Astyanax mexicanus: one gene and its partner. The protein of the gene in region 2 interacts with the protein of the main gene of each other region in a biochemical or structural test. Links are inferred from orthologs where the notes say so. Each region holds a gene or a part of one and is shown on either strand. Other genes may lie near its edges. The genes, in order: cltb and hip1.

Evidence for each region.
Region 1: the proteins of hip1 (region 2) and cltb form a complex in vitro, tested with the Homo sapiens proteins (2 studies listed by BioGRID, with this or other methods). The link is inferred for Astyanax mexicanus from reciprocal best matches to the Homo sapiens genes HIP1 and CLTB.

Annotation. Positions count from the first base shown.
Region 1 is NC_064426.1:2,412,804-2,422,812, forward strand, and holds the start of cltb (clathrin light chain B), read right to left. Parts: upstream 4,631-10,009; 5' UTR 4,328-4,630; coding exon 4,189-4,327; intron 2,096-4,188; coding exon 2,046-2,095; intron 1,828-2,045; coding exon 1,710-1,827; intron 1,083-1,709; coding exon 971-1,082; intron 355-970; coding exon 301-354; intron 1-300. Other genes in the region: pdlim7 (PDZ and LIM domain protein 7), read left to right, coding at 6,860-6,880. UniProt on the Homo sapiens protein: Clathrin is the major protein of the polyhedral coat of coated pits and vesicles.
Region 2 is NC_064425.1:13,904,061-13,913,696, forward strand, and holds the start of hip1 (huntingtin-interacting protein 1), read right to left. Parts: upstream 4,907-9,636; 5' UTR 4,633-4,906; coding exon 4,513-4,632; intron 1-4,512. Other genes in the region: clptm1 (cleft lip and palate transmembrane protein 1 homolog), read left to right, coding at 8,166-8,219. UniProt on the Homo sapiens protein: Plays a role in clathrin-mediated endocytosis and trafficking. Involved in regulating AMPA receptor trafficking in the central nervous system in an NMDA-dependent manner. Regulates presynaptic nerve terminal activity.

The DNA of each region.
Region 1 (10,009 bases), on a different chromosome or scaffold from region 2:
TACTGTGTGTATAAACAGTGTTTTTAATAAATTACCTGAAGGTACTGTGTGGATAAACAGTGTTTTTAATAAACTATATGTGCACTCTCTGAGTTCTCAGTGCCTTGTTTTAAATGTCAGGGTCCTCAGATTTCTACCAATGACGTGTGGAGCTATGTTAAGCTTGTTAATGGTGTAAAATAGTGAAATCTTTGCATAGGCATCGCTATGCCCCTTTTGCTAGCATCGCTAGCATTGTAATGTGTGATGAGCTTCTGCTGATTGGTCCTTCACAAGACGATAATACGACAGGGGACATACACAAAGCCTATCACATCAGAGTTGGGCTGTTTGTAGAAAGCCTTATCAGCAATCCTAGCGTGCATGAGGGCAAAAGATAGAAAGAAGACGGGAGAAGAGTGAGAAATAAACGGGTAAGGGAGAGAGAGAATCACAACATTGTTTCAGAAGAAGAGATTAAAAAGCACACAAACATGGTAGAGGTTAGTAAGCCATAAGAAACTCTCAGCAACCTTTTAATGACACCAAAAAAGAGAAATATTACATGAGAAATGGTGAGCTGTGCATTTATAAATTACACCTGGCATTAATGATCACAAGCCATCAAACCAAGCTAAACTGCTTGAATTTCTGCACCAGGAGTAAAGCAGCATAAGGTTAACCAAAAGCAGTGTGTAAGACTGGTGGAGGAGGAGAACATGATGCCAAGATGCATGAAAAAAACTGTGATTAATATAGTTTATATAATAAAAAAAAAACATGTTCATTTTACTCAAACCTATACCTATAAATAGCAAAAACTGTTTTCATTTCACCGGATTTATTTGTATTCTTAGGCGTTATACAGTGTATTTTATAGACATATCTCTGCTACAAGTGCTGTTTACGAAAATAAAAACAAAAAGAAAGACAGTTAAAGATAAGTACTATTCCTGGATTACTGAACGCAGGTGTATTTGGGTAGAAATACCTGTTGTTCACTTTGTTCTTCTCCATCTGTTCTTGCTGGTGCAGATTCCAGTCCACTAGTTCCTTCTTCGCTTTCTCCTTCCACTCAACTTCTGCTGCTTTAGAAGCTGAATCTGCAGAACAAAAAATAAACATTTCTTTTTGTGCTCTCTCGTTTTGTCTCTCTAGCTTTCTCCGAGTTTTAGTAAATTACACATACATTGCAGTTGTATGAATAAATGATATATTATGATCTATTACTGTCTTAATACCTATGTAATTACTGTATTGTTTGGACTATAAGGCGCATTTAATATCCTTTAGATTTCCCAAAAAAATTCAATTAGGTGCCCTTTATGTATGAATTCTACCAGTTAAAAATGCAGCATTTGCATTAGCATTAGCAGAACCGCAAGCTGATACCACCCTGGCTTATCAGAACACTGGATTCCTCAGTCTAGCGCTATTGGGCGGCATTTTACGTCCTGCTAGTGCTGCGGTTGGCGGCTAATGCTAATGCAGCTGCACCCAGCCTTATTGCTGGAGACACTTCACTGAAAACTCACCCTTAGACAAAATACTGGAAACCTAAGCTTACTGTAAATAAATGGAAACATGGCGACACCCTTATTCACTTCGATGTAGGAATCCTTACTAGTGTCGCTTATCCGGTATGTCTTATAGTCTGGAAAATACTGAACACTTTATTTACTAAAATTCTACTTTAATATACCTTTAAATAATTAAATAAATAAGTATACCTAGCTCCTCCAGCCTGGTCTTCTGCTCCTCCCGCCACTTGCGCAAGCTTTCAGGCTCCTGCCTCAGCTGGTCGACCTGGGCGATGGCTGCATAGCTGTCTGTTACTCCATTCGAGTCCTAAACCATTCATAAAACAGCATTAGAAAACATATATTGACCATCTATGGTGGTCACATTGTAAACATTGTAGATTTATACAGAGTATACTGATTTATACTGAGTAACCACACACAAACTACACACTTACAGCACAACAGCCTACAACATACAAATTATCTACCTTATCCAATATTCCATTTAATTAAAAAAAAGTAAATGACACCATAAAAACACACCTCAAACATGTCTCCGTTTACTGCTGCAGCAGGTGCTTCTCCAAACGCATCTGATTTAAGAAAAGAAGAGAGACAGACTGTAAAATCCTGTGAGTTCTGGTCTTGTTGAGCAACGCTTTTCGTATTTCCTCTCAGAAGAACTACTAGTAGAAGAGGAATGCTGTAAAACCTGCCCGGCTATATGACTGTTACTGAGTCCTATATGTAAACCAGAGATGAATGATCAGCTTGCTCATTCGGTGAGGTGGCAACAGACGTTATTTTAACAGAAGTTTAAAAGCTCAGGTGTACTACAGTAAGTAGTGTTAATATACCTTATATAAAAAGTGCTGAAAACACTGAAACCTAGTGGAATACACCAGCGGATATTCTACCAGGGACGTTGACAGTCCAGATGTATTACCCTAAATGATCATTACATTAGAACCTACCAGAATCTTACAGTAATTATGTTACCAAAAGTTTAACAGTAAAGATGTAATATACTAGTTAACTAACCAGGTAGAGAAACGCTCACAGCATTGGAATCTACCAGAACCTACCACTACCACCACTAAAGATACACTTAGTATATTCCACCTTAATTGGAGTTTAATGGAAACTGTCATTTCCATTGTCTTCACTAAACCTAAAAATGTTTTCTCTACAGCTCTGGAAAAAAAATTGAGACGAGTTTCTTTGATTTTTAGCAAATTGAAAACCTCTGGAATATAATCAAAAGGAAACCAAATTGAACTGCTTGAATTTTTGCAACAAGAGTGGCATAAAGTTATTCAAAAGCAGTGTGTAAAACTGTGATTAAGACCAGGATTATTGATTTCTGATTTTCTTTAAACTTTATGATTATAAATATGAAAGGCCTGAAAGCTTTGCTTATTTTTTGTTATTTCAGCCATTTCTCATTTTCTGTAAATAAATGCTCTGAATGACAATAAGTTAATTTGTAATTTGGGAGAAATGTTGTCTGTAGTTTATAGAATAAAACAATGTCCATTTTATTCAAACATAAACCTACACATAGCAAAATAAGACAAACTGATTCAGTAACTGAGGTGCTCTCTAAATTTTTTTCAGAGATGTATATATCCCATTAGTTTATACACACTTGTGTGCAATATTTTCAAGATTAATCAAGATTAACGAATCCTTTTTATTAAAATCACAGCTCAGAACAAAATAAAGTGTTCATAAATTTACAATAAATAGAAAAATAAATAGAGAAGCAGTATTAAAAGGAGAGAACGTCACAATTTTTATAAATTACATTTGTATCCAAGGTATCAAACTAATAATTTACTGCTAACTCACTCTGCAACAGCTTCATCCACCAGGCAGTCAGACTTCTCAACGCACAGAGACAGAACTGAACCCCCACCCCACCCACCACTCACCCAACACACTCGCACAAAACTAAACTGTACACCCCCCCCCCCCCCCCCTTTACACTCACAAAGAACTGAACTTCACCCACACACACACCCAGTCAGCACACAGAGGCTGACATGACTTTATTTGCTGCACTCTTAAAAACTATAAACTCTACCTCAGTAACTGCTGTGATTATATATGTTCTATATGTTACAGTATGTCACACATCTCTGCACCTTATCCTCACTATACACTTTATTATACCGTATCGGTACTGCACTGTCCTGACTTTAAATTGTCTCGTCTTTTGTATTTATTGTATTTATTGTTATTTAGTGTTATAATTTTATAATTTTATGTTGCACTGTCGTCACTCCTACACTTTATGTTGTCTATTGCTTGTGGTTCTATGTTGCACCATGGTTCCGGAGGAACGTAATTTCATCACACTGTGTACCTGTACTCAGATGTAATGACAATAAAAGCCTCTTGACTTGACTCTTGATTTGAACAGCTGGATGCTGTTTAGCGTTAGCATTAGCTTGCTAGCTTGTTTAGAAATTGGTTAATTGTTTTGTATTTTTTAAGCGCTTTTAAGGAGCCAATGTGTGTCTTGTTGGTGTTAAAACGTTAAAATCCTGTTTTCGCTTTATTATACCTTGTTAAATTAACTGTATCGCCTTGTCCAGACTCTTTTTATCTGTGTAGACTCTAATGTTAACAAGCTAAGCTAAGCTAACAGGCTAACACGCTATCACCCAGACAGACGACGTGCCTCCGCTCGGCCCCAGGCCGTCCGCCTCGCTCTCGATGCCGGCGATCTCGCTCTGCTGCTGCGCCAGGAAGGCCGCGGCCGGGTCCTCCTCAGCCTCGGCGCCGTTGGAGAAGCTGGAGAAGCCGAAGTCGTCGGCCATCTTCACCGCGGCGAAAACACCTGCTTTATTCCTCAGACCTCGGCCGGGCTCTCTTAGGCTCCAGCTGTGGCTTTGTTCAGGTTTAAACGCAGGAAAAACAAGTTAAATAAATATGTTGAAAAAAGAGTTGGTTTATCTCCTGAATCGAGCCGGACTCTTAAACCAGGTCAGCTGGAGGTTAATTCGTCCCTTTCGTCCCAGAAAAGCAGTAAAAACAGGGACGTGGAGGAGAGCCGAGGTCAGAACTCAGAGAGGAGAGTATAACTCTAACGCTGGGGCTGATTGTATGGTGTTGTGTCTCCATCTGCTGGAACAGACTGAACACACATACAGTACTTAACTAGTGGTAAACACACTCACCACAACCTTTATTGTTATTATTAGGAGTTTATCACTATGCTTTAAAGAGGCACTAAACCCTAAACCACGGTTTTTATTTATTTATTAAAAATTAAAATGTGTTACTCTGAAGTAATTAAACATGTCATTCCTGATTAAACATTTCCTAAATGTTCTTTATTGCAGTCATTTCGACATCTACAGCACCTTCTTATATTTAACTTTGCTAAAGGCAAGTATGATAATATCGCCCCCCTGGTGACGTCCAGAGGCACACTGCTCACTGCTCAGCCCAATTACCTCTTCCTTCTGCCCCGCCCCTAAACCCATACATCACTGCAGTGCCCCTCCCAAACTACCCCTACCATTTTTTTTTAGCATTTTTGAATCAGCCAAAATCAGCGGGTTCATGCTGCCTTCAAGTCCTCCTCGTAAATTCCTACTTTCGAGGTTGGAGTTCGTAATTACGACATGCGTTCAAGTGTTTTTTTTTTTTTTTTTTTGTCAGGTGAAAATGGACGGCATTAGGAAAATACTTTTGTTTATACTTTTGTTCTGTTTGGTCTGTAGAGTGTGTGTAGGGAACAGATAAACCTCAGCATAAAGTGTATAGTGTATGGGGAACACAAAAAAAGGAAAAAAAAAATCTGGGAATTTTTTTAACCTTTTTTACATGTGCTTGCATTGTAGGTGCATTCACTTTTAAAACTACTTTTTACTTAATTAATTCTGTAATTGAGGCCAATTTAAATAAAAATACAGAAGCAATTTACAAAATGGGGGGTTTTGTTTTATTTTATTCATTCATTTTTAGAAATTCATTTTAAATACTTTTGATAAAATTATTTACCTTCTCTGTTATGTGTTTATTGTGCCAATTAATTAGTATTGTGAAAAAGGTTTATATATTAAAAGACAGGTTTTCGTGGGGTTTCCTGATTCACTACGTGACTGTATGTGTGTAATACGTGTATAAGTGTGGCTTAGAAGTTCACAGTATAAAGGTGCACGACACACCTTGTTTTTTTACCCACCCGTTTACGCAAAGCCACGCCTCTGCAAACTTTTTAGCCAATAAGAGTGCGAGGCTATCAGCCCTCACACTCTTTCAGCACACTGGGGAGGATTGAGTTCTTATTTTAAATCCTAAATGGACTAATTTAAGGAAAAAAATCAGCTTTGGTTTTACACATAAAATATTGTCAATTAAGAATGTTTAATTCTATAAAGAGCCATATTTACAAAAGAAATATGAGTGTGGTGTGACAGTTAATATATAACTGTTGTACTGCCGTGTATATATTGCACATAGTTGCACAGTGAAAAAAGTGAAGCAAATAAGTAAAATAAGTATAAGTTAAAGGTTTCATATTTAAAGGTTTAAATAAGTGAATGTTAAGATTAATAACTAATATAAACTTTTTTATACAACAAAAATGATTATTTATGGAACAAAAAATGATTCTACTTGTGGCACTGATAAAAGTCCCTATTTTAAGATATTTGTCATTATGTAAGAAAATCATCTTCAAATGACTTAGTATATATAAAAATAATAGCCTAATATCTAAACATAATTTAATATTCCAAAAAAATGAGATAGCATCTAAACTAGTGAGATAGCTTCTAAAAATAATGAATTACTTTCTCAAAATAATGCCATAGCATCTAAAAAAAAGAGAATTTATCTCAAAACAATACATTAGTATCTCGAAATAATGAGATATCTAAAGATAGTAAAATAATGAGATACTAGCTAATCAAAACATTTTTTTTGTATCTCGAAATAAGGAAATATCATCTAAAAAATAATGTATTAGTATCTTAAATTAATGATAAATATTATCTAAACAGATAGCATTGTAGTGAACGCTGAGTACAAACTTTTAACCAATCAGAGAGCTAGGCTATCAACCGTCAAGGCCAGTCAGAGGCCCGCAGGGGCGGGACATGTCGGAAAACCGGTGGGGAAAAAAATAACGGCAAGCGGAGAGCGCCGCGTCACGCGCACACGTGGTGGATGACGTATCGGTGAGTCCTGCTAAAAGTGGTGGTAGAGGGAGAGCGCGCGCTGCTGAGCGGAGTTACCCGAACCTCCACCCCGCTGAACTACAGCCTGAACCCGGCTACACTACAGCTCCAGCCCCGCTACCCTACAGCCTCCACCCGCCGCCCGCCCGGAGCCTGATCACCATGTCCGGAGACACCAAGGAGGTAATTCATCACCAGCGCTGCAGATTCTTACTGAACCAGAAAACCATAACACTCAGAGCGGAGTTTAAAACAGCTTTAACAACACTAACACTGCGGACAATCACTAACCTACAGATTTATTTATCAACAACTGCCAGAAACATAGTTTTATACTCAAAACACATCCGATCCGAGTCAACACAAAGACTTCAGTAACTGTTATCACGTCTGAGTGAAGACCAAGACTTTCTATAGCCGAGTTTGAGTCAAGAACAAAACTGGGACACAAAAAGCCTGATTCAAGACTGAGGCTTTGAGTAGTTTAATTTTAGTCACAAACAAAGCTTTTGCTAGTTTCAATTTAGTCAAAACTGAGCCTTTTAGTAGTTTAATTTTAGTCAAGAACGCGACATATCAGATGTGGGTCACAACCAAGATTTTTACTAGTTTATTCTTCAGTCAAGACCAGGATTTTTTTTGTAGTTTAATTCAAGACCGAGACTTTGAGTAGTTGAATTTGAGTCAAGACTGAGTCTTTGAGTAATTAGTCTCTGAATCTAGACCTAGACTCATGGTTGTAGAGTCTGAGCCTAGACCGACACTCATGGTATAGAGTGTGAGTCTAGACCAAGACTCAAGGTTGTATAGTCTGGGTCTAGACCAAGACTCAAGGTTGTATAGTCTGGGTCTAGACCAAGACTCAAGGTTGTATAGTCTGGGTCTAGACCAAGACTCATGGTTGTAGAGTCTGAGTCAAGACCAAGATTTTGAGTTGTCGATTCAAATTCAAGACTGAGACCAGTACACATCAGATCTGAGTCAGGACCAAGACTTTCTATAGTTTTAGAGTTTGAAACAAAACTGGGAAACTAAAAGCCCGATTCAAGACTCTTTTAGGAGTTTAATTTTAGTCAAGAACAATACTTTTAGTAATTTAAATCAAGTCAAGACTAAGGGTTTTAGGAGTTTAATTTTAGTCAAGCACAATACTTTTAGTAATTTAAATCAAGTCAAGACCAAGACTTTGAATAGTTAAGTTTGAACCAAGACTGAGGCTTTGAGTATTCAGTCTGAGTCAATACTGAGACGGGGACGCATCAGATGCGAATCTAGACCAAGATTTTTACTAGTTGATTCTAGGATTTAAAGTTGTTTAATTTGATTCAAGACCAAGACTTTTAGTAGTATTACTACAGCACTACAATTTAGCTTTAAACTTTCCTACTGTATTTCTATCTGCTTTATGCTCTTCTTTCAGGCTTCTCTACCCACAAAACTTAAAAAAAATAAAAAATAATAACAGCTTTCAAGCTATTCATTAACAGTTTCATTCATTCATACAGCTGCTCATGCAGCAGTTTACACTGTGGCTGCTGCAGTGCTGTTGAACCTCTCGGGAAGTGGTCATTACCCTTAATTACGCTTCATTGTCATTATTCTTGGCAGCCAACATGTCATTACACGACCCCCATTAGTTTTTAGGAAGGTTTGAGTTTCTCTCAGCCTGAGACAAGCTTTTTCATCTGGTCTAAATCCCAAATAGACACTAATTGGATGTATTGGGCAGTGACTTAATGCACTTAAACACATTCAGGGGGTTTGAGTTGTGTTAGATTGAGTCTAAAACTTAACTTAAATAGGCACATACTTAGTTTTTAGAAGACTGACCTTATGTACTTTTTACCCATTAGAGAGGTTTCAGTTTTGTCAGCCTGTGAAAAGGCCTTTATCCCAAAAATACACATATTTAGCATAAAAAGCATGCTAAATTGATAAAAATGCATTTTACTTTTGGTATGCACCCAACTTGACAGAATGAGTAGTCTATAAATCCCAATTTTAACACATTAAGGAGGTTTGATTGTGTAAGAATGAGGGGATAACTCTATTTTAACTATTTTAAACTCATCAGGGAGGTTTTAGTTTCTCTCGGCCTGAGAAAACCCCCATTTTAAATTTAGTCTGAATCCCAAATAGACGTAATTAGATGTGTAGGGCAGTAATGCAATTAAACACATTTAAACGCAATAAAATAGCCTCTAAATAGTTTTTAAAATAGAAAGAATAAGTTGTCCATTTGTCTAAATTCCAACACATTAAAGATGTTTGAGTGAGTTTTATCAGGCTGAGAGAAACCTTTTAATTTGGGTCTAAATTCCAAATCATTTGACACAAATGGGATGTAAATTGGTTATTAATTTGGTATTAGTGGTTGATGTGGTGCAGCACACCAATATAAGTCTAAAGACAAAATTTCTCCCAAAATTCCAAATAAAAATATTCTCATTTAGAGCATTTATTTGCAGAAAATGAGAAATGGCTAAAATAACAAAAAAGATGCAGAGCTTTCAGACCTCAAATAATGCAAAGAAAACAAGTTCATATTAATTTAGGAAGAGTTCAGAAATCAATATTTGATGGAATAACCCTGTTTTTTAGTCACAGTTTTCATGCTTTATCTTGGCATCATGTTCTCCTCCACCAGTCTTACACACTGCACCACTTACACCACTCTCCACACAGTTCAGTTTGGTGGTTTGATGGTTTGTGATCATCCATCTTCCTCTTGATTATATTCCAGAGGTTTTCAATTTGATAAAATCAAAGATTTCAAAGATCACGATAAACTAATAGTGCTCTAGTGTAACACACGTGCTACACATGTGGTTCTTCTGTTTTGTCACTAACACTAACTCTTGTAGATTCTTGATTTCATGTTTAAGTGTTGGAGTGTTGGAAGGCTTCAGTCCTGCTTATTATGTATTGCTACCAGAAAGAAGGAGAGAGTACTGAGAAGAGGTTTGACTAGGAAACTGCAACCTATACTTGCCATGCCCATGTGAACCCTGCCATTCTCCAATTTCCAGAGGACACTTTTAGAGCCTCAGAGACTTTCTCCAGCTGATGTGCAGTGAAGTAGCCTCTGTGGAAGTGGTCAGCTTAGACCAACACTTTTGTTTCTGTGTGTTTTCTTGATGGTTCACATTCACAAATGTATTTAAGTGATCCGTATCTGTGTGTATTGTGAACGAATCTGTTCCTGAAACACCGTCTCACATGCTGCACATCCTTCTTCACCAACAACAAAGAAAACCCTCATATTAGAAAAAAAGGGCAGGCGGTTTGCTTTTGCTGTTTTTTTGCAGCTTT
Region 2 (9,636 bases):
AGGGGGAGCTGGGCATGTTTGTGTGTCTGGACCACTGTTGGCACACCAAATAAAACGAGTACAAATTCCACTTCTGTACATACTGCTAGGTCCATAAATATTCGGACAGTGACACAATATTCATGATTTGAGTTCTGCACGCCACTACACTTGATTTAAAATGAAACAATCAGAAGTCGATGAAGTTTAGACTTTTAGGTTTAATTCAAGGGTTGAATAAAAATAGTTTATGAAGTGTTTAGGAATAACAACCATGTATTTACAAATCCAAATGCTGGGTTTTCTCCTTTATGGTGTTTTTCCAGGTCATTAATGCAGATCTTCAGTTGTTTAGTTTTGTCTTAAAGGAGAAGTAAAATTCAGCTGGATCGGGTTCAGATCTGGTGATTAATTAAGCCACCGCCAAATATTTCACTTCTTTACCTTAAAAAACTTCTGAGTTTCTTTAGCAGCATGTTTTGGGTGATTGTCCATTTGCACTGTCCAATGCTCATCAGCCTTCTGCATTTGGCTGAATCTGATCAAAAAAGTAAATCCCTTTAACTTTAGAATTCATTCTTCTTCTTCTATCTTCTGTTACATCTTCAATAAACACTAGTGACCCCGTGCCACTGAAAGCCATGCATGCCCATACATTAAACTACCACCACCATGTTTAAAAGATAATGTGGTAAGCTTTGTGTCGAGTTTCTCCTAGCCTTCTCCATACTTTCTTCTTCCCAACATTATTCCGGTCCTGTCTTCCGTGGACATCCAGCTCTTTTTGAGTTCCTGAGCTCTCCAATGCACTCTTTTTTTACCCAGACTGTACCAAAATGTTGATTTGGCCACTCTTTAACATTTCGACTATCTCTCTCTGATGGATTCCTTCTTTTCTTCAGGCTGATGGTAATCTGTGTCTCTTCCATTGAGAGCTCCTAAGAGTCTACACTTTAATGACTTTTCATTTGTTTCATTTTAAATCCAGTGTAGTGGTATGCAGGGCCCAAATCATGAAGATTGGGTCACTGTCCAACTATCTATTGACCTAACTGTATAACAACATGCAGAAAGGAAGATAAGAAAAGAGCTAGGCTTTCAGCTGCAGTGTTTAAAATACTACGATGAGAACACCAGCAGAGCAGTGTAATGCAGCTTGCATGGTGTGACCTACTTTTCGCTAGCTGTCTCGGAATGGGGAGGGGGTGGAGGACCCCCAGAGTGGTGGGAAGCTCACGAGCACAATGAGAATGTTTTTATGTTTCCCTCAGTCTTCTGAACACACTGTATGGCTTGGCTGGATATCGAGATACGAGATTCAGAATTGCCAAAGCAGTTTGGTGCCAAAAAAGCAGCACTCACTCTCACTCTCACCATCACTTCCACCTTGTAGGCCACAGTCCAGTCATTCGATCCACAATCATTTTACTGGTTTTATTGATGTTGCCTTTTCTCTAACAGCTTCTAACAGTTCCTCTTTGTCCAGCTGGATAAATGTACATCAGCAGGGAAGTGTCTGAGAAACTATCCTCGACCTTCATCTAATTACTGACACGCTTTTTTAATGTTACTTTATTGTAATATATTATTATATTGATGATGCAAAAACATTGCAAAGAAAATGACAAAGTGTCAGTAATCAGTCATTTTTACTTATGCTTTAAACTGACTTTTGCCAGAATACTACATAAAAAACCTGGGTCTTTTCTTAGATTTCTTTCATTAGTAGGCCTACACCAATATATCATATACACTGTGTACATAGATATTGTTCTCAAAATGTTGTAAGGAATGGACCAGTAGAAATGCTCTAAAGACTTTCTACTGACTGTTAACATTGAACAGTTGATTTTTTTATGATTTACTCGAAATGCACTAAATATATTCCAACCAAGATTTTTTATTTAAAAAATGGCTAAATTGACACTGATTTGTACCTATATCTGCTAAGAAGTTAAAATGTTCAGTGTTTAATAAATAATTTAAAAATGGCAGTTTTGTAAAAGCTTTTCATTTTGTTCGGTTTCAGGCAAAACATAATATTTAGGTGCATCCCAGATTTTCACTTCTCCTGTAAAGTCCTGTAAGATTTTTTGTCTCAGCTGAAATGCTAAAGCAGGCATATCTAGTCCACCACCAGATGTTTATGTAATAGCATCGACAGATATGTACAAAAGAACACTGGATCATCAGAAGCATCCCAGAATTTCAATACTGTGCATCCATAAGTAATGACACCATTGAACTAGCTACTGTAATTGTATGCTTAAAAAATGTCAACAAGTACAAGCTGATTAGACCTTTGGCCATTTTTGTCGTAGGATGTCACTAAATTAGGGCTGACAGCTAGTGATAAAGTCAGGGTGTGTATGAGCCTGTGTGAGCCTTATGGAATTCAATGAGCAAAGGTTTGCCACATAGCTAAGTGTATAGCAGGAAGAATTCTGGGAGTCCTTCATCACCTGAACAATTCCAGCCTTACAGATAAAAAGAAGTGAGATAATGCTGTGTAAAGATGACTCATTATCACCACCGGCTACAGTCACATAGACAAAAGCTACTTAAAGCTACACATACACTAAAGCAGACTTTAAAGGAACAATACATACTACAATATATACACGCACATATATGCTTTGAAATGTTTTTGAGCGGGGACAACTGTAAATATAGGTTAGCTAGTGGTTAAATGATTAACTGTCTAATTTAGCATTAGCCATATATTTTTGCGCTCTGTCTTTATGATAAAAGAAATAGATAACTTATCAAATTATTTATAAATTATGGAGGACATTTAGCTAGCTAAGTGAGTTTCACTTATTTTGTTGGGGACACCTATGAAAAGATATATTACATATTGCTAGCTAGGTTAAGTGGTTAAATAACCTAGGTTAGGTATGAGTCTATTCCTGACTGATGAGAGAAACTCAATGCCTGTAAACATGCTGAACTAAACAGTGGTTTATTTTTATAAGGCAGTGATTTTAGTGTGGTGATATAAATGATATAATTTCTTTGCTAACCTAAGCTAGTTAACTACTTGCTTTATTGTGGTACTGTTAGGTAGCTAACCTAAATAAAAGAAGCTAGTATTTTCTATTTTGCCGCAAGGACAAATAACCTAATGGGGACTAAATCTGGTTAAAGCAAACAACAGGTAAATTAGCTAGGTAAATTAATAAATAGAGCTTCCCATGATCTCAGTGTTTTATCATTTACTCAGAAAATCAGTTAATGGAGTTCTGATTAATATTGTGTGGGTAAATATCAAGATTAGTACACTAGGCTATTGCCAGTGTTGTGCTGAACTCGGCACCCCCATCAGGAAAAGCACCCCCTCTCGGGAGTGTGCAGTCTTCTTTAACTTTTTTTAGAAAATGAAAATACCTAAGATGCTGTTCTGACTCCTAAGAAATAATGAAAAATAGTCATGTCACCTGCAGCGCTTTAACTTAACTTTGAAATACACTCCAAAAGGGGGTGCTTTTACTGGCGGGGGTGCTGAATTCGGCACAACACCTGTGTTCTACTGAGTTATCCATCATGCTATCCATCGCATAATGGCATTGCGCATGCACCCACCCACATTTTTTTGTACTAATTCAGTTTCACTTGAGTGCATTAAACTACCTCCTTGAATGTTACAAACTGTAAATTGCTACTTAAAATACTGGCAAAAAAAAAACTTTCTGACTGTAACATACACATAATACAGTGATTTATCCTATACAAACATCCTACCTAGACTTCTACCAGTAAAAAAAATCCTTATATAGTGTTTTTTGTATTTTTTTTTTTAGCTTTAAATACATTTTAAAAGATACTCTGGGGTAGCACGGTTTGACAAGGTAAGTTAGCTAAACTTGACCGAACTGTCGAGTTGTGTTACTCATCGATATGGGCTACTTAGCGGATCTGCGCATGCGTTACCTCTTATTTTTACTGTTTTCGTGCGTTTTTTCTGATAATTTTAGCTAATAATAATGTTTTTTTTCTGAGGTGGATTATACAATCCGAGCGCACTAACACTGTTTACTTTGATTGTTCCAGTCGTGTTAAAAAAAAAAAAAAAAAAAAAATATATATATATATATATATATATATATATATATATATATATATATATATAATAAAATATATAAAAAATAAACTATAAAAACGGTTTTAATTCACCTGACTATATTGCCTTAACTTACTTTTTTTAACTTACTTTTTTTGTATTTTCACCTATAAATATACTCTAGGAAATAACGGTTTGACAAAGTAACTTAGCAAAAATGGACAGTCTCGAGCTAACGCTAGCTACCGTGAAAACAGCGAACTTGCCGTTAGTTAAATTAGCTAACTGGCGCGTGCAGCTCGTTGCAGCTTAAAATTCCGCTAAAATACAAATCGCGTCGTTTTATAAATTTAGCCGAACATTCAAATTCACGCGTTATATTAGTTGAGCTAAAACTGCACAATAACCCGCAGTTACAAACCGGAGACCATGTTAGTTAGTTGGTGATTTAGTAATTCAGTCATTTAACCCACCTGGCTCCGCTCAAAGTTTTCCTTTTCAAGTTCTAAACTGTTGGCCCCTCCAGCGCGGCGACTCAGGACTTTGGGGATGGGGTTGGGGACCTGCTGGATGGAGCTCTTCACTCGGTCCATTTTGTGGGATAAATCCAAGAATACTGAGAAACTGCCTCCGGTGCAGAGCGAGCTAATAAACAACCACGCGCAAAACAGAGCGACTATAAAATCCCTCTCCGCAGGAGACGGTCATTTTCTGCGTCCACAGCTCAGCTCCAGGCCCCGTTGCGTGTATCTGTGTATCTGTTTGTCTGGCCGTGTTCCTGCTCTGGTCGAAGTCTGAGAGAGTCCTACATATTTTCACTGATCACTAAATCACTCCCACCGCTGCACGAACCACAACACAGTTTACGAATCAGCAGCCCACATCCACAGCCAGCAACACGCACAGGCCCCGCCCCGCGCCGCCCGTGATTTGCTTAAACAATCTGTTATCCCCGCCCCTTGAGGCCAGTGTAATGTACATTGCTTCAATCTTCTGACTATTTGGACCTACATTTAATAATTTGATTTTTTTAAATGCATTTCTTACTGAATTTAATTTATTTACAAAGTATCTTTGTCATTTTCTTCGTAACAAAAAGGCTGTATCCACTACAATATATTGAAATAATTTGTTTGTAAAAGAATGAGCTGTACTGCAACATAAATATTTAGTTTAGATTGTTTTATGGATTGTTTGTTTTTGGAAATTAAGAATTTTCTATTTTTTTCCCTATTTTTCTATTTTTATTTCTGCTCCTTCACAATTTAAATTTCATAAAATATAAAAAAAAAAGATTTCTGAAAATCAAGTTTTTTTTTGTTTTTTTTTTTACATTTTTCCTAAAATTTAGACCCTGAGGGGCAGAAAAAAAGAAAGAAAAAACAGTTTCTATGATCTAATCTGAAGATCACTGGTTCGAATACCAGGTCATGCTGCTCAACATCATCAGCCAGAGTTTGATTGAACATTTTTGATGCCATGGGTTTGTTTTACAGTCTCAGTCAAGAATGAAAAAGAAGAAAACAAACGCCATCAGCTGACAGGGACTGAGAGGGCACAATTGGCATTGCTTTCTTTGGGTTAAAACAGCTGAGAGCAGCTGAGCGGCATAGCTAAATCTGCCTAGCTAATATGTAAAAACAATACAAATGGAACAGTCTAACAAGACTTTGTGGTTACAAATGTATTTCATCATATAAACTAATTATTATTATGAAAACTGACATTTTAAAGCAAACTTTTTTTCATGTTGTGTTCATGCACAGTGAACTCTAGGTAATTGAGTAACATGAAGCATACATCAGCTGCATTCTTGAATTCACTCCCACCCTTGACTGTTTTTCTTGGCTGTATATAAAGGGTTTTCACTGAGGCTGAGAAATAAGAGATGTACCTCATTATTTTAAAGTCACTTTAGATAAAGGGGTCTGCTAAATGCATTGTAATGTTATGCAATGTAAGGCATTCTAGGCTTTGAGACACAGCTGACACTAAAATTGGAGGATGCTTCTCTCGTGAGTAGAGTTTAAAAAGGCAACATTGTCATCCCTTTACAATCATTATGAGAGAAGAATATGTTTAAAAAATGGAAAAAAAGTGGAGAGGTGTAATTAAGGTAGAAGCTGATTCAGACATTTAAACACACTCTGTCACAGACAGAGCTGTAATTAAATTTCTCAGTGTTGCAAAATGCATTGTATGACACAGTCAGAGTGAGGTTACACAGGATGGGTGAAATGGTGTTTTAAAGTGACAGTCATGTGTAAGGGATATTCATCTTCACCCCACTCTCAGCAAAAAACAAACCAATCGGTTTACAGCAATTCAGCACAAAATCTCCTGCCACAGGCACAGAGGAAAAGTGCAGACCTACACCACCTGCTGTTTGTGTTCAAGACTCCACTGATTCCACAAACGTGGGTTAAAATTAGCAGTAAATGACGAAGAATTAAGAGATGTTTTTTGTGTTGATCTTTTAAGACCTTCCAGGTGCACTAGCTTAAAATGCAGTATAATAGCAGAATGTTTTTGCTGAATAGTATATATGTAAGGAATAAAGTATGCCCTACAATGAAACAAACAAAAAAAAAAACAGTGAGTTTACACGCACTGAATATACTGATAAAGAAAATACCCTGAAATATTGTGGTATTATTTTAGGACCATTTCACCCACCCCTAGTATGTGCGTATTTACATTACATATGGTTGCTGTCCAATGAAAAGCATGTATCTTTAAATTGGCAGCTTTACAGGAGAAAGATAAAATCTTCTTAACTGTAAATAAAAATAAATATAAAAAGAAGAAATCACCTTAATTCTGTTGATTTTGGAGAATTTCTATTGGTTGATTTTTTATAAAAAATTTTGAGACAGTTTGTGTGTTCAAATTATGTAGTAAACTAAAAATCTACAAAAGAAGATACTTGTTTCTCATTGAACTATGACGATATTAATCTACATATATATATATATATATATATATATATATATATATATATATATATATATATATATATATATATAGGTTCTTATATAAGCACACTAGTTCAGTTTGTTTTATAAACAAAGTTATTAGTGTGATTGTAGTGTGCAATATAACACAGTGCTGTTCTTCTGAAGTCTTCTTATTATTATTATTATTATTCTGGATTTTTGTCTGACTAACTATTGCCACAATGTTTGAGATATTGACTCAATGGTACAAATATGCATCCTTATTGGGAATGGTGGGCTTGTATACAGCTTTTTGATTGACATATGGTCCGCTTTTTTGCCCATTTGAAAATGACAGGGAGAAATCTGAACGCCCATGTACATCACAATTTTTGGGATAAGAAGGCCAAATTTGGCAGGCCTATAGAACTTATCGTATTCTTTCTGAAAATATGCTGTACAAAATGATCCGATGTATGTTTTCTGTACAATTGCCATACGAATTTGCCCCATAGGAATGAGCGGCCCCAACGTTCCATCTCACACACCAGGGCTACAGTAGTGTTTGTGTGTATGGAGGAGCTGCTGTATGGAGCAGCTACTGGTCAAACGTTTTGACGCCCCGGCATGCCAGTCAGTGCACCAGTACTGTGTGTGTATGGCAGAGCTGCTGGATAAACCAGCTACTGCTCAAACATTTGGACATCTCACATGTCCAGAGCAACCTAGCGTCCATAGCCAGGCTCAAAAGTTTGGACAAAACACCTTAACAACACTTTGCAATTGCCTAGCAACCGCTTAGAAACAACATAACAGTCAACACAGATACCACCATAGCAATACCTTAGCAACCGCATAGCAACACCATAGCAACCAGCACTGCAATCACAATCGCAGTTTCTGCAGGAACGGCAATCTAGGTTGCATTTTTTGCACCGTTAATTATTTATTGGCCGTTAACTGCACTGTAAACTGATGCATACTTTAGTCAGAGACTTAAAATAGACAACAAATCTTGCTAAACCTAACCTATCTAAAACCTTATTAATTAAAGCACACGACAGATCACGCGAGATCTCCTGCTCGTCGTGCGAGATTCAGCCATTCACGCGCCTGCTCTGCACAGTTCTCGCGCGACTTGCTCCCCACCGTTTAACGCCGCATTACAGTGTGCGACAGAGGCAGGTAAGATGGCGGCGCAGGAGACTGAAGCAACACAGCAGCCGACCGTGAGCAACGGCGAGGTAAGAGAGACTCCGGCCGCGCTGTGGGATTAAACAGCGGGTAGTTCTGTTTCAGGAGACCCTCGGCACTGTTTCTGGGTGTGTGGGGGAGCGGGGCACCGCTGCTTCGCTGCGGGATTGGGAGAGATTGGAGCCGGTCAGCACCGCCGGCCCCGCGGCGCTCCGGCTCTCTGCACTGGGCTAAAGCCGGTGTTCTGTCGAGTTATGCTACAGTGTCAAATTGTGCTACACTAGTGTATAATTTAAAAGGTAGATTAAAAATAAAATACAAAATAAAGCAACAGATTAGAACAACCTCCTAGCAAAACTGTAGAAAGGGTATACCTATTGGCTTAAAGCCTAAATCAGGTGAAGTAACGTTATCAGGTAAAGGTGCTTGGAAACTGGGTTTTATTTTTCAGTTTTGTATAATGAACTGCTTGACATTTGCACTTTTTGTAACAAGCCAATAATGAAATTCAGTCCCTGTTGTGTAAAGCCCTAATGTAAAATAGAATTATCACAAAAACACATGAAAACATTTTGAAGAATATATATATTATGTGGGTTCAGCGCATGCGCAGTACCGGTAGGAAGCGCATATCGATGGGTAAACTACTCGTCAGAACACCGGGCTAACGAGCATAGCTAGCGCTAGCCTCGCAGTCTGCTGCGTGTGCCGTAGACTAGCTTGTTAGCTAAGCTAGCTGGTAACTACTAACCCGTCGTTTTAGCTCGTTAGCTAGTTTAGCTATATCCCACAATAGAAAGCAAGAGCTCTAGCTAATTAGGTTAGCTAGTCTAAACTGTGTGTTTAGTCTGGATGTTATTGAATTTTAACGGCTTCAGTGTGGCCAACTGTTAGCCAGCTAGCTAGTTAGCTATCTTAATTAGCTTATCATAGGCTAATGGGCTCAGTCATTCTAATGGCTAGCTCGCTAACTAGCTAACCTATTTAGCCTGCGTTAGCTAAGCCACCAACCGTTAGTTAGTTATTTAGCTGAGTATTTTATGGCTCATTGATCAGCGTTATATACAATCAATAAAAGCTATTAGACTAGATAATATTTTTCCAGCCTGTGCCAGAGGGCCAGACTAGCTGCAGCTAGACTAGCTAACAAATCAGTTAATCTGTCCTGTCACAGCCAATCATTAACATTACAGCTTGACGGATTATTTCTCGTAGTTAGTCATTTCTAAAGCTATAGTGTCTTTCCCACTCACGACTTCACACCCCCTCGACTAGCTACTTAAATACTCGTAGGCTTATTATTACACGCCATCAGCTGATTTTGTTGTCTCTTCAGATGAATTAAGCTTTAAATCCGGATACAACATCTGGTTTTGCCTTAATTACGGCTTTTAGTTAAACACCACATTCCACTTAAGAACTCAGGGCGTAAGGCCTACTTGGTGGGCCTATGGGTCACTCCAGTAG